Linked DNA regions of Lepisosteus oculatus. The main gene of each other region encodes a partner of the protein of the gene in region 2 in a complex. Links are inferred from orthologs where the notes say so. Each region holds a gene or a part of one and is shown on either strand. Other genes may lie near its edges.

Region 1 (11,086 bases), on a different chromosome or scaffold from region 2:
CGGGTTCTGGTCGGGAAGAATATCCAGTAGGGGTGCAGCTGAGACATCAGACGGCACCAGGTCTGCGCACAGCTCCGTCACACTGGAGCACGGATTCATTTAACACGTACTCACATACTCACGCTGGAATCTACTGTCCCAGCCCCAGGGATGCTGGAAGCAAATAAAATGGCACAGCCTGACACCTGTAACACCAGGAATAGGAATCTTGAACGATCCTGCCTTGTGAATCTCTGTCACGGCCTACAGCACGGTGAATCCCTATCACACTGCAGCTTGCCGTCCCGCGGGCTCACAGGAACGTAGGTAAGACAGTAAGTAACTTTATTGCCCATATACAATTTCTTTTATTAGGCATTTGTCTTTTCACAGACCCCAGCTTGCTCTCCAGGAGACACACAGGCAGGGAGAGAAGCTCAGGGTCAGCCATTTATACAGCACCCCTGGAGCAGCAGGGGTGAAGGGCCTTGCTCAGGGGCCCAACGGAGTAGGATTCCTCTGCCGGCCGCGGGATTCGAACCGGCAACCTTCCAGCCACAGAGCCGCCGCTCCGCCCAGGAAGCTCTGAACTTCCTGGCCCGTCTCCCCCCCCTCCAGGCCAGAGGTGCTTCAGCCGCGGGGTGAAACGGGCGGGGTGGGGAACTCGGTGTGGGAGCACACGGCCGTGCCAGTCTGTGCCATGAAAAGAGCTGAGGGTGCAGTCTCAAGCCGGCTGCGGTTTCCCGTTTTCATGGATCAGCCCTTGTTTCCCACTTCTCCTCCTTCTGTAATTTCACACTGGGAGACGTGGGCAGAGGAGCACACTGTGGAGAGTGGGTATTTTTGCAGAGGTCAGTCCGATTAGAGGTCAGTTTCTACTGCCTCTGGTGACTGGAAATAGATCTGGGCTGCAAGGTCACTTTAAAAGTAGGATTACTTGGGCATCTTATTACCCCCTTCCTCCAAAAAAAAGGAACAACGCTGAAATTTCTGATCGGGTGGATTTCTATGGGACAGTCAAAGAGCTGCTGGGTGAGAATTCAAGGCCCTGACGAAAAGAGAATGCATAAGCGACACAACACCAGGCACAAAACACAGCAGACCCCAACACTGCAGTGCCTCTCACAGCTCGGTCTGACACATACCTGCATGCACAGGGAGCAGAATTCTCAGTGTGGGAAAACTGGAAAATCCTGTTTAGGTGCTACGGTCTACGCAGTGGGGTCAGATTTTCCCGGTGTACTAACTGTACACAAACCACTGTTCTAATTCATTGACCATGGGAAGGGGCAGTTAGCCCAGAGGGAAAATAAGGGCCCTTATCTCCAGAGCACACAGCGTGAGCACTTCTGTTTTCAGGTATCCAGAGAAGAGGTGGCACTCGGAACAGCACTGGACTGAGGTAATGTGGGCAACAGACACAGCCAGAGGAGAGGACACAGCCGTAGAGCAGCAACGCAGGATATGTAGGATTTGTAATATTGCACAAATAGGGAAATGTGTTAAGCACTGAGAACAGGAGCGGCCCCTTTACACAAAGGGTTGGCGGAGAATGGAACAAGCTTTCTTTCAGGAAGCAGCTGGATGAGATTAGCCTTGCCACCTTTCCAAGATGAAAGGGGGAAACAAAAAAGAGCTTTTCGCCACCCGCAGACAGGGTGTGCGCCCCGCCACGGTGTTGGGGTACCCGTGCCAGAACTACTACGGAGATGAGGGACCCCTCGCTTGTGTCGGGGCCTGCGCCCCACTTCTTTTAACAGTCGTTTTAGCACCTGCAACCAGCGGGGGCACGAAGCCAGCAGGCCGAGCAGCAACCCAGGACAAGCTCCTCGGGCCCCATCGCCACCCAAGACTTCTCCTGCTCAGAACCCGTCTCGTGTTCTGACGGAGCCCGGCTGGGCCCGGTGTGGGTGAGCTGCCTCTTCGCCTGCAGGCTTTCAGCAGCGGGTTGGCTGGAGAGCAAGGCAAGAGTGCTCTCGCTAAATCTTCACACGACACAACAGACACGTGGGACTCCGGCTGGGAGCTCGTCTACGGCTCCTCGTCGTCTCTGGGCCCTGGATATTTCAGTCTGGTACCCCCAATCTGAATGGGCGTGAGCAGACAGAGCCAATCGGCACAAAAGCCTGGGGTGGTCGGTTGTGTTTCGTTTCACAACAGACGCCGCAAGTTGTTTATAGGCCGAAACCTATAAAAATCGATTGTTTCATTCGCTGGGAATGGCAGCCCGTAGTCATTCACCACACGAGCGCGAAACGAACAGAGATGCAAGACGAGAGGGATTCTCAGTCACTTGAATTCATTCAGCCTCAAGATCCTGCCACAGTGGATCTGCTTTCATTATTTTTTCATTGATTGATGAATCTTGCAACGGCATTTCTGAACAGCTGGCTCTGTCTTCACAAAGGCCTGTAGTGAAACAGATCTGTATGTTCGGTACTCTGGAGCCCCTCCAAAACAACAGTAGAAACCTTCTAGTGAGAGAGCGGTACGACCATCCAATCACTCCATCATCACTGGTGGTTCAAATTCAATGTTTGATGGCCAGATCTTTCCAGGTTCAAGTAGGCTGGTCACTTTGCAAACGGCTAAGGCTCATTCAAGATTCGGGGTTCAGTCTGTAACCTCTGGACTGCAGGGATTCATCCTGGACTGGTACCCCCTGTGACCTCCAGTCTGCAGGAGCTCATTCTGGACTGGTACCCCCTGTGACCTCCAGTCTGCAGGGGATCATCCTGGACTTGTACCCCCTGTGACCTCCAGTCTGCAGGGGCTCATCCTGGACTGGTACCCCCTGTGACCTCCAGTCTGCAGGGGCTCATCCTGGACTGGTACCCCCTGTGATCTCCAGTCTGCAGGGGATCGTCCTGGACTGGACTGGAAACCAGTCCTGTAATGGATGATGAGGAGTCAGGCAGGGCCCCCTCTTCCCACTTCGCAGGAGAGACTCAGTGGAGCCAGGCTGTAATCTGAGCGTGCCGTATCCGGGGCTGTGCTGACACAGACAGGACGGGACAGCAAGGTGACCCGAACAGTGCAGAGTCCCGGTCTACACTCGATATCCCCCGATCCCATCCCCACCTTCAGGTTGATTCTGTGTCAAACACTGCCCACCTTCCAGATCCACGCTTTTTCTTCTTCTTCTTCTTCTTCTTCGTCTTATTATTATTATTATTATTATTATTATTATTATTATAGTGCAACACTGTACAAGCCTGGACACAGAAGCGACTATCTTCTTAACGGAGTTTTAAAGCAGCACAGCCAATGTTTCGAGCCAGTGTCCTCTTTGGTGTGAAAGGCACAGCGAGTGGCACCAGTGTGACATCCCGCTGAGACAATCGGATCGCTGTGAAGCCATCTGGAGGATAAAAACTTTCTCAGAGTCTTGTCTCCAGCAGCACCCCTGACAACACGGGTCTGCCACGAGCTCTGAGAGCTGACCAGCCCGAAGAGGCGAATCTCGCGCTCAACAAAAACCTTTTTTTGAAAAATATACAGTATATACTGTATATAAAAATAAAAACAGACACATATAAACACAGAGGGGAAAAAAAAGTTCCTCTGATGATGATGATGATTTTACACAAGTATATGTATGAAATTAAAAAATAAATGAATTGGTTTTGATTTCCGGTCCGGTCTGGCTAATGCAATGAGGCCCGGCTGAATTAAAATCAGATCCGTCTATTTTCTGACCACGTCTATTAATTCAGGGTCGCAGGGGAGCTGGGGCACAAGGCAGGGTACACCCTGGACGGGACGCCAGTCCATCACAGGGCAGACAGACATAGACACACACGCACTCTTACCAGCACCCATCAGCCAACCAGCATGTGTTTGGACTGTGGGAGGAAACCCACACAAACACGGGGAGAACATGCAGACTCCACACAGACAGCACCCCAGGTCTGAAATTGGACTCAGGGCCCGAGTGCTACAATGCAGCAAAGCTGACCCCTGCGCCACCGAATTAAAATTATTTTAAAGAAATACAATGAAATACTCTAGTACTGTTTCTAGTGCTACTGCCAGTGCAGAACCAATAAGAACACTGCAGAGTCCCCCAAAACAGGACAATTTAACCAGCTTTTCATAAATCACTTCCGCACCTCAGTGGTACAAATACAGCATCAGACATCTGCACGAGATCCTGCCAAACCTGCACAAGCCCAAGGTGCCCCAGGCAGCCCTGTGTCTGTGTCAGCTCCTCGTTGAGGCTGGTGCTGTGTATCAGTGGTACTGTCTCGGTATCAGGGCAGCGTGTTTAATGAAGGGGAGGACTCTGGGCGGTCTCCGATGATCCTGATGGAAGTGACAAGAGCTCAAAAAAGACAAACGTCAAGCGCCTGCCCCCCTTAAACCAGCAATAGCAGAGTCCCCCAGAGATCCGAGTCAAACCAATGTGGGTGCACTGCACCACACACACGTCCAGGAGACGCTACCCAATGGGCACAGCGAGCAGGCCATGGGTCTGGGATCAGGCGACCGCTGTCTGTCCTCATCACACACAGCCTCATTAGGGATCTGTGGGAGGCAGCGGGGCTGAGCTGGGGACAGTCAAAAAGAAAGGCTAGCAGCCAGTCCAGTTTTTTTTTTTCCCCATCAGGAAGAACACCACCATGTCGGGCGGTCATGAGTCAACCTGTATAAAGGGGGACACATGGGTTCCAATCTCCACATAAGTTTAGATCCCTGTCAGGAAAACACCGGGAACACCTCTGATCGACCCATCACTTGTCTGGAAGAACGACCTGCTTTCTCTTGGAAATCCTACTAGGCAACCCACTGAGCTAGAAACACGCTGAGCCTACCCCATGAGCACCTCGAAAAAGATCATTTTCAATGCTTAATAAACGTCACTTTCAGTTTTTCAGACTAGAGGATCGCTCTTCATTTACGCAGGTTTCTGTCCGTGGCAGTTAATGATTCAACATCCACCGTGTTGTAAAACCACCTCATAAAACACGGTATGGCTCTGGGTAATCGGTAATCGCAGATGCAACACTGTCTCCCTGTACTGTCAGGCAAACGGGCTCAGCTGTGGCTCGTTTAAATAGCTTTCAGGGTGGCCCGGCGGAAACAAAAGCATTATCCGGTCACCACGGACGGTAAATTAAAAACATATCGCAGTATAGGAGGTACCACACCTTGGTGTACCCCGATAAATACCGTTTTACTGACAGATGTGTACAGAGCTACACTCCCCTTTTCGTTAATGTGACAAACCCTAGTGCTGGTCTGTCTCCTTACTAGTAAATGAGCCGGGAAATCTGCGGAGTTAATTACAGTGTAGCTACCCCGTCCTTTTCCACGGTTTATTACGGCTAAATTGTGTTGTTGTTGTTTTTTTTCAACGCGGCATTGGTAACGAGCCCGGGTCCTCAGTTAAGGGAAGCAGTGAGATTTGACACACAGAAATACACCAATCGTCTTGACAGTAGAGGGTAGAAAAAAAAACGCCGAATGCTAATGACTTGGGATGTTTTTATTTTTTATCAGAGAATTTGAGATACGACGAATCTCCTCACAACCTCACACAGATCAGACGCCACACACACCAGATTGCGAAAAAAAAACATAATCGCTGCGTTCGTGAAAAAAAAAAATGAAACTGAACACGGTATTATTCTTCCAAACTGACTATTTCACACACTCCAGCGGACACACCGCATTACGTTATTAGCAAGACATCCTCGTAGACGTATACATGACAGATCCGTGTAGGAAATTTACTCATCCTTACGACACAGGCGTGTGAAATGCACGACCACATCGTGTATGTTGTATACGGCAAGCCGACAAAATCAAACACTTGCGTTAAAAAAACCCACTCCGCCTCGGCAACTGTCCTGGCCCGTCTCACACGTCGGACAGGCTTGTATAAGCGGTTTGGGCGCCCAAACGAAAGGCAGTTTATCCAAATAAATAAATAACACGTCCATATATTAATATTCTACTGTACATCGACCTGACCCGAGCGGTTGACCCCGATCAGTAACGCAGCGGGTCCCTATCGGGGATGAGACTAAATGGATTATTTTTAACCCCCCGTCCCTCTCTCCCTCTGTTTGTGTGTGTTGATTTATTTAAAAAAAAACACAGGCCGTGTATATAACAGTGGATTATTACTATATAATATTAATTTCACACTTGGAAGTCGCGGACAGCCGACGACCCGCTCTTTTCCCAACGGCGGAGCGCGAGACGCGTGACTGAATTTGGGGGGGGGGGGCGGTCGAAACAAACGCGTCCGTTTGACATAATTCGTTTAACAAATCGGTCCCCGTCCCCGTATAAAAAACAAAAACAAAACATCTTTATCGTCACCCCGCTATGAGAAAATGACAACAAATAATGTCGGTAAGAAGAAATCAAAAAATATCTTTAACAAAAAAAAAAACCTTACCTTCATCGTTCCTGCGCCTTCACAACCTATTCCCTCGTCTCGGTTCCGTACTTCTCCAGATATTACTTAAATATTCACATTCACATGCGGCTGTGATGCTCCTTAGCGCCGTTTTTGTATCATAATGATCATGCTCGGATTAGACACGGGCGGCGGTGCTACTGTTTTGAGAGAAAGGTGTTCACTCTCCTGCTCCTGCGGCAGGTCGCCATGCCTGAGACGGGCGATAGGACACAGGTCAGAAATTGCATTACATTTCATTACAGTCTACAATAAACAGCGGCGGCGATAATGAGAGAAACAGAAGAAGAGGAAAAAACGGAGACCCGCCTGTACGGGCAAGGGATTGGACGAGGCTGGTGTACTGTATGTGTGCTGGCTCTGTGTGTGTGTGTACAGATCTACAACCGCACCGCTTCGCTTTAAAATCTCTTGCCTCCAAACACGTCCAATTAATCCCCGTCCAGTGATAACGGTGGGCAGCGGGAGAGGGAACCAAGGAGCTCGGCTTTTAAATGAACACACACACACAAAAAAAACCCAAAACTTTTATTTTTTACAGTACAGAACAGCGATAAAACCGACACAATGAATGCGAGGGGGGGAACTGAAGGTCAAACGCGCTTGTAACGAAGAATAAATTCATACATTCAAGACAAACGACGCCAGTACGTGTTCTTGACCTGACCTACATAAAGCGATAATAAAAATATTATCCTCATTTGTATACCTACTAATTTCCGCCGCATGCCTTAGTGAATATTTTTTCGTACTCTGGCAAATTGGGGCCTGTTTTCTCTTTTAATTCATTAAATCAAACCTTCAAAATATAATAATGTGGGCATAGTTGAATTATTTCGGGTATTTCGCTTGTTATTCTATAAGCAGATGCGTTAAGCGACAGATAAAAAAAAACTGTGCTTCAAAAAGGCAACATGACTATGGAGCTGTGCGTTTATTTTCTAAATACAATATATGACAAAAATATATAATGACTGTAACTGTAATCGTTTTAAACTGAAACGATTCTGTTTCCAGTAGACTGGAAATAGTCAGCGCTAAGAAAAATCCAACAACCTGGTTAGTCTCCATAGTGATAGTCTGCTGTGACCTTGCGTGACCCGAAAAACTAAGGCTGCATTGTAGGAGTTGTAGTCCCTGGTGTCGATAACGTTCATTACCGTGCACGCCTGAGCAGGATGAAAAGGACTACATTCGCCAGGGGCACCCGCGAGCTGGCTGCCGGCTTGTCGCGGCTCGGGACCCGAGGAGGAAGAAATGGCGGACCCCGACAAACTACGAAGTGATGCCGGCGAGAAACACGGGGAAGTCGGAAATGGGAGCAAAAAAAGGGAGGCCGCCGCCGGCCCCGTGTCTTTTGGCTTCAGCAAAACCGTCAGCAAGTTCAGAGTTCAGAGCTCCGCCGAAAAAGTGGAGGAGAAAGACTACCTGACCGGTGTAGAAGGAAAGGAGTTAAAGAGGTATGGCCGAGAGTAGCGCTCTACATAGGGTACCGGGGTCTCAAAGACTTTCAAAACTTAACCTCGGGGTGCAAAATTTATTGTAGTGTTGAAGTGTAGTAATTTCGCTTTTTGTTTCTTTCTGGTTGTATGTCTTGCCTCTCTTGTGTTGACTTGATTCGGGGTGTTCTGGTGTCTTTTCCTGCCTGCTTTTGACTCTGCATCTCGGTGCGCTTGGGTTCGGGCGTGTCGTCTGCGCTTCTGCGTCCAGCACCAGACCAGCGGAGAAGCCCAAGGAGCTGGTCATCCCGCTGATCCACAAGAACCGGTGGTACAAGGGCGAAGGGGCCAGCAGGACGGCCAGCGAGACCTGTCCGCAGCCGCCCAGGGAGGAGGATGCTGTGGAGTCGCAGGCCGTCAAGGAGCTGATTGAGGGTACGTGCATCAGGCTCTCCCGGCGTAGCCCACTGGACCGTTTCGGGTTTCACCAGCTTCAAGGCTGTTGCGCGCGTAAACACAGCTGGGCGGCACGGTAGCAGTTCCGGGGTCCTGGGTTAATTCCTGCAGGCTGTCTGTGTGGAGTTTGCACGTTCTTCCACGTTCATGTGGGCTTCCTCTGGATGCTCCAGTTTTTGGAGTCCAGTTTTCTGGGAAAATTGGTCCTGGTGTGGGTGTGTGTGTACGGCAGTGTTTTTGTGCCCTGCCATGGACTGGCATGCCGTCCAGGGTGTAACCCACCGTGCGCCTGTTGCTTCCTGGGATGATACCCACCTCCCCCGGACTTGAATCGGACGAAACAGTTGGAAAATGGATTGATGGGTGAATGCTCTAGTTTGTGTTTCGGTGTTCATCCTGTTGAAGTCCACTGGGTTGACTCTGTCAATGCCTTTGAAGATTTTGAATACTTTAATAGGGTCCCCTGGTAGTCTCTGTTCAAGACTACAAGAAAAACTGCACTTCCTTTAACCTCTCAGTGTAGTAAGTTGGTACAATTCACTCCACCAGTAACCAGCCAGTGCACAAGAACCCACTGCTTGTTCGAAGACTGAAGTTGCTCCGTCAGCTGAGCACCAATCTTGTTTCTGTCCCCTGCTGTTCTTCGGGTTATTCTCCTCCCAGTTCTCCTGTTACACCCTGATCTTCTTCTTCCCTGACCGCTGCTAGAACTCCTCATTTGATGTTATCATTAAAGTGCTTTCTTTCCAAGGGGCATTGCTGGGAACTTAAAATGCATGGTAAACTGTCAGCCTAATTTTAATAGTCTGTTAATATATAAATGCGTGCATCTGGTAGCATTAACAGAAACCTGTTTAGAAGAGATTCAAAGAGGTTTCTTACAACCATTGTTTTAGTTTCTTTAATTACTCCTGTTGAATGGAAAAGCATTATGTGTCACTGTCTCACGGACACCATGTTTGTGAAGGGATGTGCTCTTCTTTAAATAAAATGACGCATCCAGGCTGTTATTGGAATCTTTTACTAAAATGTTTTTTTTTTATGGTGATTTATAAAAGCACTTTAATCCTGTAGCTGCCTGGGTCTCTCCAGAGTTACACCATTTTGCAGTTAGTGTAGGAATGGAAAGATTTCCACTGCACTGACGTTGGTCTGAGTTGCTAATCTGAGTTTTACGAGCTCCAGGCTCTGCTATGTAAACCAACACCAGCCAGCCTGGCCTGCACCTCCCCGGTCCTGAAACGAACGAGGCTCCTGTCCAGTGGGAGAGTCTTATTGTCTTATTTCCACCCCGTCTTATTGTCTCTCTCTCTCCTCAGAGTCCCAGCGGCAGCAGGAGTTGTGGAAAAATGGCGGAGCGGCTGACCTGAACCTGTCCATCCCGCTGCTGATGCAGAACAAGGCTCCCGAGGGCTACGAGGACGGAGACAAGATCCAAGTGGACCTGCGGCCCGAGTCTGTGAGTCGCCGCCCCAGCCCCTGCTTCACAGAGCAGAACCAACTAACTCAGCATTTGATAACCATTAAAAATATTGTCATTCCTGGGGACTGTCATTCTCTGAGTTTCCCACAAATTGATTTATCCTCTCCTGCGGCTGTAACAGTTAAATGCTTTCACTGTGCACTAGTGCAGTTTAATTTTCTGACCTTTTTTTTTTTGGTATTGATTAATTATTTTCCCCAGTGCCATTTTAATTAAGAGTTGGAAGGGACCGCCATTGTTAATGTAGGATTTTAGGCGCAATTAGGAGATTAAATGTGCTTTTCAGATCCTCTGGTGATTACGTGGCTGTATATGTTGCACCTAGTGCGTTTATATATATCCAGTAGGTAGAGGGAGATAATTGGGTAACTGGACAGGCATCTATTGCCTGTGCTCTTCATACTGTCTAAATGGCTGCACAGTTCATTAGCAGAATAAAAGAGCTGCCAGTTCTTCAGTGTCTTACGAGCACAGGCTCCTTGCTGCTGGAAAACTGTCCACAGTGTTCCTCGGTCTGTACAGAACATGGGTGCGCAGGCATGTGTGCGTCCATGATACGTGTGTGAATGTGTACTACATGTATTAATCTAGGGTTTGTTTCCCCTTTTTGTCCTCTTGTCTTGCCTGACGGGGTTCAGGATGAGATTCTCTGGCGCGGGGAGCACGCGTCTGGACAGGAGGGTGCAGAGATAGAGAGCTCACCCCACTGCTTGCGCTCGCCCTACTGTGTGAGTGGAGGTAGATGGACTGGTTGTCGAAGAGCCCCTTGCCCATGTTGTCCTGTTGTTCTGGCCCTGGGGGTGCAAGGGTTCTCACTGCCCTCACAGACCGATATCAAGCACCTTCGGGTGCTGCTTTTGTTCCGTCTGCCACCAAACCGAGACGAAAAAAACATGAAAATCCGGAAAACATCACACAGAGCAGCAAGGCAGTGAGCCTGAGGGTGCCCGACCGCAGCGGGGCGGTGCCGTGTGAACTCCTGCACCCCCCAGCCGGGCGGACTTGTTCGCTCCGGGGCGGGGGAGGGGGGGCTGCTGACATCGGCACGCGCTGGCAGCCAGGCAGGACTGCAGGGCTGCAGGCTGCTGCGGCTCTGGGCTCGGCCGAGCCATGGGGAGCCGGCGCACGTCCGCTCCCAGGATCCGCAGCACCGACAAGAGTTCTGCTCTGTTCTCGAGGTCGGAGAGCTACGGCCCTCATGCAGCGTCACAGAAACTCCTGAAGTTACATCCCTCCTCCGTTCTGCCCTAAATTGTTCCTTGGGTTTCTGGGTTTTGCCCACACCGAGCTGCTGTGCAC
Region 2 (10,494 bases):
AAACAGCACACATTTTCTGCTCAATTCAGGGTTGTATAAGCGTGACTTCAGGTTCCTACAAACTACAGGCTATAAGGATAAAGGGCGATAAAGGTCTCCATATAAGAGAAAAATTACTATACTTCTCTTTACTTTTTGAAGAAAAGAGAAGGGTTTGATTTAAACCTCTGTATCGGATTTTGCAGACAGTAATTTACCTTGTCAGATCCTGTCCTCCATTTGTGAAATAGCCTGAAAGTGACTTATTCAGATGGGTGCCTTCAGTCTCCATTGTAACTATTGTAACTATTGTCGTGTGTAAACTGAGCACCATGAAACTGACTGTTCTTTGTATTTTATGTTGTAAATTAAAAGTATACAGTTGATGTGTGGCTAATTAAGCACTGGTGAATGTACATGTACAAAACTTCTTACATTCAAGTTATTATGTTTTATTTTCAGAATTCTGAAATTTGCATGACATTGTGTTTGACATTTACATTTCTGAAAAGTATATTTACGTCATTAAATGTCTTAATGGATCCCATATTTTTTATGTTTCAGGTTTTCTTGTGTCATATTTTATTTTTGTGAAATACAGAAATTACTATTAAAAACACTTGCAATATTTATTTCATAAACTGTAAACCAACTATGTCATTATTTCTGCTTTGACAAGGGGAACAGGGAACTACATCAATAATTCATACAGTGGAAGAGGGGCATTACCATAGTGTTTTCTACCTGAGTCTGCATGTTGGTGCAGCAGGGAGAGTTGTATTAAATGTAATAGTGGCATTTTTTATATTTGTAATAGTTGCAAGAATCTGTCCGGCTTTCAGCAGAATAATGGGAGTTTGACAGTTAAGTTGAAGTGAACATCATAAGAGAAAGGCTGAAAGGCTAGTGGGCTTTTTTTTGGTGTGATTTCTGTGTTTCGGAAACAAACATGTCGAAGAAGAAAAGGGAAAGCCGACAAAAGTTACGGTCTCCTCAGTTTTTTACACTTGCTCCTGGGCTTTCCAAATGTCACTTGGAAAAAATCGAACCTGACAGTTTTGTGATGACAAATTTGTTTACGATGTCCCTGTTTATCTTAGATGCACCTTGACTGTGTTTGCCAAGGGCAAGTGGGAATGATTTCCAAATTTGGAAGTAAAGGTGTCTCAGGCAAAGTCATTCTTGAGGAAGACCTGTGATGGGATTATGTGTTTAATGCTTCACATCTGGACAGTGCTCTGCTGGACACGTCAACCAATGAGGGATCTGCAATATTTATTGTAATAATATTTATTATATATGGTGTTTAGAGCTGTATGATGTGACAAGAATGGGTTCTCCTGCTGATCCCAGATTGCAAGTCCAGCACTTAATGGCTGCATTTTGTCAGATAAACACTGGGTGTCAACAGGGTGCTGTTGCTGGCCAGGTCAAAATTCTGATTCAATCCAGACAATTCTTTTGTTTTTAGTTTTTTGGGGGGGCGGGGGGGAGTTGGGGTTAATAATTCTGCTTCACCATACGTTGTAAGAGGAATTTACATTTTGTTAAAATGTTGAAGTAATCATGCTGAGCCTTTTTTTAAATGAGTGAATATTTCAATAAACAAACCTATGGAGTGTAATCGTTTTTATGGTTCTTTTAAAAAGAACATATTCTTTTTCATGTTCTATTTGACTGATATATCTTATCTATAAAGTGTCACTTTACTTCTTTCACCATGAAAAAAGACATTCATGAAGACCACAAACAGCTTCCATCCAAAGGATTATGAAAAAAAAAAGATTTTAGTTGGTGTTTAGTTTTGCGTAAATGCTGATATTAATCTGATATATCTCAGGGTTGTGATCACCATGATCGAAATTGGCCTTTTAGCTTGAGCTACTCCACAGCGCTGCTCCACAGAACCTTTTGGTACACATGTGCTCCAGAATACTTGTGAAGGTAACCCTCACTCCATTCAGTTTCTCAGCCATGGTGCAGATATGGTACTTGCTTGCAGCCCTTAGTTTGCAACCTCCACTTCTGCTCAGTTCTTGGTTCTTCAAATGATTTAGCCCTGACACAACAACTGTACCCCAACTAGCAGATACTTCCTGGACTGGTGATGATGTCATCAAAAGGAGACAGCTCTTGTTTATGAGCAGCTACAGTATATGCCCCTTCATCAAATACTCTTTATTATCAGAAATTATAAGCACTTTGTATCTTCTTATCTAATAATGTTGTGAACAGCAGTGTAAATAACCTTTTCTGTTTTTTTCACAAAATATGATTGCGACAGTAGGCATGTAACAGACACCCTGGAGTGTGAAACATATTTATCTGGGCTCTGACAGGACCCATCTGAAGAATATTTTTCTCTCTGTGCTTCAGAAGGTTTTCTGTAAACCATTTTTCTGTAGACCATGCCACTTGTTGTGCAGCCTTGGGTCATTACCACAGTAGCCAACATGCATTTAATGAGTTAATTAGAATTAGTCTGGGTCTGTAAATAAGATGAAGCTCTAATGGAAAGGAGTGGACATACCGTATAGTTGATTTCACGCAAAATATCCTGCATTCAGCAGCTGCAAACTTGCTTGAATAAACAAAGTCCAGCATCAGACTGCCTGTAACTTTTATTCCCAATGGCACAGTGTCATTGTGAGCGTGCTCTGTTATATTGCACAGTGTCTCTGAGGTACTGATGTGTGAAGGGACTACAAGCAGGTCCTTGTGTCTGACTCAGTGGCCCGAAAGTTTTCTCATGCCGTCAGGCTGTGTTTCCTGTTAAAGAACAGCCAGCTCTTCACCCCCCAGTTTGTGTAAAACAGTGTTTTCACTGTACGAGAGCATCTTCTTTAGTATTCAAAAATCTGATTTAACCCTAATAGAGGGGTTCCGTACACAGAGCCCAGGACTTTACACATTCTGATTGGCTGAGAATTTGGCAAATTTAGCATGGTTCTCTTTGGAGGTAAATTTCTGATGGGACTGCATTTTCTACAGATCGATTCCTCCCTCTTTTCAGAAGGAGAGCTGTCTCCGAAGGTGAGGCACACATCGTGTGATGTTGTGTGCCTTCCTCTATTCTCTCAGTGATGCACCACAGCTCTCAGGTGGGTGTGCAGAATGGCTCTAATGCTTTTCAAGCAACAGCAGATATGCCGGATTCTCGCCAGCTACTGACCACACAACAGGAGATCATATCCTGCAGAGACGGATTCAAATTAAATTATATGGGAAATTAAATAATGACATATTAATCCTTTTATGTCAATTTTCAACATTTGTTATCCTCTGAATAGCACGTGCTATTTGGCATTTTAGCTTGAATGAAATCAAGTAAACAGCTGCTCTGCACAGAAAATAATCATGTCTGAAATGTCACAATACTGATATTAGAACAGATGCACAAAAACAGTGAGTCGTGTAGGAAGTGCCAGTTTAATTATGTTTGTCTTTGATATTCCAGTATTGTGCATCAACCAACATTTTAACATTTTAAATTAATCTTACATGTTGTATTAATACTTCTCAGTGACCAAAAGATTGCTGTTTGAAAACTGCAACAATGTGGCTGGAATGAAAGAATAAACAGTTTCTTTAGTAGAGGGTTACTTGTTTTTAGCGGGACAATTCGGTTACTTCTTTGTGCCCTATAAAGCTTTTTGATCGAAAAATTAAGAGAAACATTCCTAGTGGAGTCAATTCATAAATAACAGTTGCAGATCAGTTTCTATGGAGCAGGATTCTTAGAAACTGGAAATTAACTAGATTATACTGGGTTTATTGTGAAGGGATAATGTAACAATAGTTAAATGTAAATGTTAAGATATAAATAAGAAAACAAATTACTGCTGTGTGGTTGCCTTTTAGGTTATGCTGTTAAGTACAAAAAAGAAGTTAATGTGAGCAACGCACATACTGTAGCTCGGTTAAAGCAAAATATAATCTAAGGAACGCAGGGTTTAGGAGTGGGCTATCATTGAAGTTGGCACCAGTCAGCTATCGAGATTCAGAGGCATCCTGGAGAAGATTCAGGTCTGCAGTTTAATTCACTTAGGGTTACTTAGCAACAGTGACATAAGTGACTGGAAGGGATGAAGCAGTTTCATTTTCTACCTTTTCCTACGAGAGCACAGAGCAGGTAAGACCTACCTAGAGGAATTGCATCTTTTTACTGGAAAATATGTTTTTGAGCTTCCACTCTGCCACAGGTGTGTTTATTCTGGACCACCTGATGAGGAGGGGCCGCCTACAGATGCATCAGGGTGATTGTTTAGTAATACCGTGATCATGTTGTACATGCTGGGGCAACTCTGTTGCACTCAACTAAGAGAACAAGACCTTATATGTCATTTTCATTCATTTTTTCCCCTTCATTTCCCAGAGCTGCAGGAGAGAGTGAGAAGCAGGGCCTGTTTTCTCAACTGCAGTCCTCAGACAGCGCAGGGTCTTCTGGTCTTCTGGTTTTCCTTCCCCCTGAGCGCTATGTTCTGCACTCAGCTTGCCCTTCCCTCAACACTGTGACCCCTTTCCCAGACGGTGAAGCACTGGAACAGCGCTCTTCCTCTTCTGATCTTCTTTGCAGCTGCCTGTATCCCCAGCCTCCTGGCAGCAGGAGAACCTCGAATCAGGCTCAAGTTATTCTGAGTGCTTCAGCTGGGGCTGGGGGGGATGCAGTCAGGGGGGTCTTTCTCTAGTTCTGTCAGTGCGGACCTCTGCCAGCTCAGGCAGACAGTGGCACTATCTGTAACATCAAAGACTGCAGCTTAAACGGTGCCCAATGCCAGCTGAACAGCCCTCTGCATGATCACAGGATTCATGTCATTTCAGCACCTCTTTGGACTTTGAACTGTAGGGCGTGGGGATTTTAGTTTTCATTGATCTACAGCTTAGTTGCACAAAGCATCTGGTTAAGAAGCAGTTTAAACCAAACTGATTCAAGTGCTTAGAAATTGTGTATGAGCCCATATAAAGGCAGGTTATATGGGTTATATATATATAACCCATATAACCTGCTGGATTGTTGCTGTCCAGGACCAGGGCTGGCCACCCAGACAGGAGTTCCTCTCCCCAAAGCAGGTGGCCACGTTTGATTGGCTATCCCAAGTCCTTTCTTCATGGCCCTGTGATGGACCAGGGGGAGAGTAGTGTTATTGACTTTCTGATAATGGGGAGATGGGTATGTGATGGAGCCTGTGCACTTTAACCAAGCACACACCTAACTGTTGTGAGTCTGAGCACATTATACATTAACAGTAGGAAGGCTGGTGAAGTCACCCTTCTTTTTCAGAGTTGCTTCTACAGTACCTTGCCTAGTGTCCCGACTCATTACAGCAAAAATCAACGTGGTAAATTTACAACTGGTGATCACCATACCACCGGCATTTATTGATATTAGAAAAAGTGTTAAATTATATCACGGCCTTTTTAATTTTCACTGGTAGCAACAGTTTAATCAGCAAGCTGATGAGGGAAAATCATGTTTGAATTGGAGACCCGTCAAATTCTTTTCAGTGTAACGGCTCTACAATTCTAAGAGAAGATCTAAAACTAGAAATGAGCACAATAAAAATTACACATATCCCTTATAAAGTGGGTTCACATCAAGGGAATGGGTACATTATACATTGGTGAACTGCTAACGGGTTATACAAATACTAAACAATGCCCTGAATTTTTCATTTTTCAGTGAACTAGCTACAATGTGTACTTGTAACTTGCTCTTCGTTAATAAGCTAATTATATTTGCTCGGTCAATGCAGGATGTCTAATCTGTGTTTGGGAGCTTTGGGAAACGGCAGGAAAAGTTTCATGTTTATGCGCTCTGTGAAGCCACAGCACCACAGCTGTGCTGCTAATTGAGCCCATTTCCTTGTTCGGAGGTCTCTGCCTTTTACTTCTTGTTACTATAGCAATGACAGCAAAGCACTAGCCCCGCTCACTGGGAAATACTCCACAACTGGAACATCATTCACTCCAACAAGCCATGAAGGTGAACCCTCAGGTTTTTGGGTAGTTCAGCAGCAGAGTGGAAGGCCAGTGAGAAAGGTGTGTGAATTGCATCTGGTGGCCTGAAACCAGAAATAAGCAACCCCCATTTCCATCATCTTTTTTTTTATTTTAGGAGGAGAAAAAGAGATATGTGGGCATCAGTGTGGAGTAGTGAGTCTTAAAACATATTTTATTTTACTCAGATTTCTTCAGGCTGTTTTAACGGGTACAAAAGCAAGTTGCATCAGCCAACTAACGTAATTGAAACTTTATTTAAATGAAAATAGAGCAGTTATAGTTAAGTTGATAGTCCAACATGGAATGCATCTAAAAGGCTGGTTTTGTGCGTAGTACAGGATACTGGACCAGTCCAGTTGAATTTGCCATTCAGTAACCGGTGGTGCTGAAAGGTCAGAAAGACGAACTTAAAAACAGTTACCCCAAAGGGTATTAAGACGACATATTCATAGTCCTGAGCAGCCTTCATGCTGGAGATCCATCAAGACTTCGGATCTATGGCTTTCTTCCGTATATTAAAAGATCAGATAGGATAAAGATGAGGGCAGGCCATTCTTTCGGGAGCTATTTAAGGAGCTGACAATCTCAGCTAGGTCTTTCTTGAAGAAAGACAGAGTATCAACCCCAACAACATGGCCGACTAACATGGTCCAGACTCTAGCATCCTTTTGTGTAAAAACCTACTTCCTTTTCTCAGCAGAATTGCCAGCAAATTAGATATTTACAAGAAAAATAGTTACATTTATGGGGTACATAAAATGAAACCTATTGTAAATTTATCAGCGAAAGATAAATCCTTTGACCTACTAAAATTCGTTTAATTACGTTCACTTAGGGAGTCTACCGTCGACCCAATGTCAGGGTTTCCGCTCAATCGAATTTTGCGAAGGCAAGAGGAGACTGTTTGTCCTTTCTCGCTTCCTGTAGAAAGCGATTTCAACGTGTGCGAGTGGAGCGGTAACTAATTCCGTAGGAAGAAAAGGCTATTCAGGTTGTTTATTTTAAAGTCATCAGTGGTAAGAATTTATTTTTAGAATTGTTATACATTAAATGTCTGTCAGTTATTTATGTGAAGGTAAAGGGAAGGTTTTGTTAAATGTGCGTTTGTTAACCGAGTGTGTTAAAGTAGTTTACGACGCCATTTTAAGTATTTTAGTTACTTTAGACATGAGTTTTCAGGTTATTTTAAACGAAAGAAAAATTTTATTTCATTTTTTATTGTACGACGTTCGTTGATCTTCAGGAATAGACTGGGATTAGTTTGAGGTGTGTTTTAACTAGTTTTGAAATAGTTACGTAAAAGCAATGGGATTGTTTTTGTAATTCTTTCTCGACGGTGAAACTAGTAGCCTTTCTTGTTAGCTCAAACCCTAAATGTACTTTGTATGGCACATTCTGAAAAATAACTAACATTGTACTCTTTGTATCACAAGTTTTGGTTATTGTTTCTAAGCCACTTAGACTTATTATATTGCATTTTATCTTACGAATTAATGGCGGAATGCTAAAAATATTTTTATTGATTACTTGAAAACACTAGTCTCGTATCAATGACTTTAACTGTATATGTTTCAGTATGAAATAAATACCAATACTCCTACCACTATAACTGCTACTGTAGGCCTCCGTCTGCAATTCAGTTCTTAGACTTAGTCTGGTGATCGCATTCTTGTCTTCACAATTGAATATTTTAGTTGTTTTTAATAACTTTTGTTTCTCTTACATCTTACGTACCCGCCCACATTTAAGCCGCCGTGAGTATGCTTTGACAGGGTATATTTTTCCAATTGTACATGCAAGTTCGACGGAATAATAATAATAAATAAATAATTGCTTACACTTATATAGCGCTTTTCTGGACACTCCACTCAAAGCGCTTTACAGGTAATGGGGACTCCCCTCCACCACCACCAATAAGACCTGGTTTGTTTCCTGATACCTATTCAAATGTCTCTTAATCACAAATCACGAACATTAGGAGCTCAAAGCTCTTTTCTGGCACGTGTTCCTGAATGGCAGCCTCTATGAGACGCTTTAATGATAATTCAAAGTGAATGAAATTTCAGAGGCTCTTGTGATTTACCGTTCCTGTACTGTAGCAGCAGACTGAAGATGCAAAATCTCAGGCACCCACTAGGACATGAAGCACCAGATGCTAGAAGCCGTTTGGTTAAAAAGATTAAAACTAACTTTTGTTCTGTTTATACCCTCACCTGAAGTCATCTCGGTTCTTTAACTGATAGTTAAACGCAAGGGATAAGACATGATCAATCCGACTCGCGCTGATTAGCTGCTGTACCCGAGGGGTCTCCTGTTTTGATCGCTTTGCGCTCCTCTCGCAGTGGAAGATGACGGACCGCTACAACATCCACAGCCAGCTGGAGCACTTGCAGTCCAAGTACATCGGGACGGGCCACGCCGACACCACCAAGTGGGAGTGGCTGGTCAACCAGCACCGGGACTCCTACTGCTCCTACATGGGCCACTTCGACCTGCTCAACTACTTCTCCGTGGCCGAGAACGAGAGCAAGGCCCGGGTGCGCTTCAACCTCATGGAGAAGATGCTGCAGCCCTGCGGGCCGCCCGCCGACAAGCCAGACGACGCCTAGCCCGGGGGGCCAGCCCGGGGCCGTGCCTCTGTAGATCGTTTCTGGGCGCCTCCGGGACTGCGATGATGGAGAACGCAAGCGGCTGCGTGTGCGAAGGGAAGGGCGGGAGCAAGTCGGTTTGGTCTTGGCACAGTGCGGCGGTTTTATCTTCGGCAGCGTTCGGATAAGCCAGTGGCGGCGTCTGTTCATAATTTCAGTTGTGGTGTCTGGTGCTTTTATAGAAACAGTTCATTCTGGTGTTCCTCATTGTTGGGTGATATTTTACTGATTTTTTTTTTTACATATTTTTACAATAAATTAATGCTGACCGATTTGACTCTGCTGTTGCTTACATGCTTATAATGAGGGTTTTGTCCGTTTCGGGTGTATTTTGTTGTTGTTATACAGTGGTCTTCATCGGTTATCAGGGTGTTGGCCATAAAAGTCCGACAGTATTTGCAACCTGCTTAGAAGTTGGCTGTTTTTTTTAACGGTCTCCTTTAATTCGGAAGGGCTCTTCAGCTGAGCGGTCTATCCTAGTTGTAGCTCTGATCCTAAGAGGAGGTAGTTACCATTCAGAGATGCACAGGATTCAGAATTGAGTGATTACAGTAAAGAATCATCATTAATGTCTCCCTTTGTTTGTCTCTGCGCGGTGTTTCCAAACTTGATTGATTAGTACTGTAATCTTACAGCACTAATAGAAAGTTTGTATTACTGAAACTTTCAAAAAGGGGATATTACTTATAAAACTGAGCAGGAAAATATGTAGTATTTAGGAATCCTTCTGATGTTTATCTAAATCAAGGTTTTTACAGACATTGAACAGCTCATTTTCTTACTGAAGCTACATCATAGTTTATCCTATATAGTCAAACGTAGAGGGATTGGGCCACTGCAGGACAACACAAGTCCGACAAATTGGTGCCAAACCTGGTGATCCTGTTAATGAAGGGATGGAAACTTCAAAATGGGTAAGCTACTCCTGAAAATTTTAAAGTTTCTCTCTTTCCTTTTTGATCTTTAAAAGTGAAGTACTGTATGACCAATTACACTAACTCGAAGTTAAAACCAGCTGTGAAATCGGTAGTTGGCAGCTGTGAAGAACATGCACTTGTAACACAGCCATTTAACTTTTACTTGCAAGGGAAGATGTTGCAATTCCTATTACTACTAAAATAATGTTGGAAAGAATGCTGGTAAATATTCAGTTTTTGAAAACTTTGTTTAACACTCTCTGCAGGATATATTTCAGTGTGATTGACAAAAGCCAGACTGGTGCATTTGGCTTCTGCTTAGTTTCCAAGTTTTATTTTGGTGGTGACGTGCTGTTAAGCTGAAGCCGACGTGTGATTGTTGGACACGGGCCCTTGAAACAGCACTGACATTTAATGGCAGTCTGTTCCTGGGATTTGCCTTTTTTTCCAGATTTGCTTTTAGTCATGGGGAAAGTCTGATGATCATTAATGCAGTACTTGTCTTGTTATGGCATTTAAAAAGCAGATCTATTGTGAAATGCCTGTTGGAGTTTACAGAACTCTGTAGTGTGCTTCAAGGAGGACAGTAATTATCTTTTGATATGTCATGCATATGGTATTTATCAACCATTTGATAAAGGAAAGAGTAACTGAAATGGTTTCCCTTGGCAAGCACAAATACCATAGCAACAACAGGCGTTTTTTTACAGGCTTTGCATTTTTATTTGGAGAAAGAACTGTGGATTTTGTTAGTTTTCTTGGCAGCATGCTCACATGTTCTGTGTGAGAGAAATAGATTAGGGATGTCTTACGATTTAAATTCAATGGTGACAGATGTAAAGAATTTGTGTCACTGAAGGACTTATTTTATCATTTTGCTTCCTTTGGCTAACAGAAGGAACAGTTCTAAAATTTTCTTCTTGGAGAAAGGTTATTTGATCATAGTGTTT

Evidence for each region. Proteins that work in one complex are often made in the same cells at the same time.
Region 1: sf3b5 (region 2) and gpkow share a complex: the UniProt entries of both Homo sapiens proteins name them as parts of the minor spliceosome. The link is inferred for Lepisosteus oculatus from reciprocal best matches to the Homo sapiens genes SF3B5 and GPKOW.

What each region holds. Positions count from the first base shown.
Region 1 is NC_090697.1:75,062,965-75,074,050, forward strand, and holds the start of gpkow (G-patch domain and KOW motifs-containing protein), read left to right. Parts: upstream 1-6,875; 5' UTR 6,876-7,666; coding exon 7,667-7,869; intron 7,870-8,119; coding exon 8,120-8,283; intron 8,284-9,623; coding exon 9,624-9,763; intron 9,764-10,425; coding exon 10,426-10,515; intron 10,516-11,086. UniProt on the Homo sapiens protein: RNA-binding protein involved in pre-mRNA splicing. As a component of the minor spliceosome, involved in the splicing of U12-type introns in pre-mRNAs.
Region 2 is NC_090712.1:1,904,153-1,914,646, forward strand, and holds sf3b5 (splicing factor 3B subunit 5), read left to right. Parts: upstream 1-6,885; 5' UTR 6,886-6,995; intron 6,996-8,321; 5' UTR 8,322-8,327; coding exon 8,328-8,588; 3' UTR 8,589-8,904; downstream 8,905-10,494. UniProt on the Homo sapiens protein: Component of the 17S U2 SnRNP complex of the spliceosome, a large ribonucleoprotein complex that removes introns from transcribed pre-mRNAs.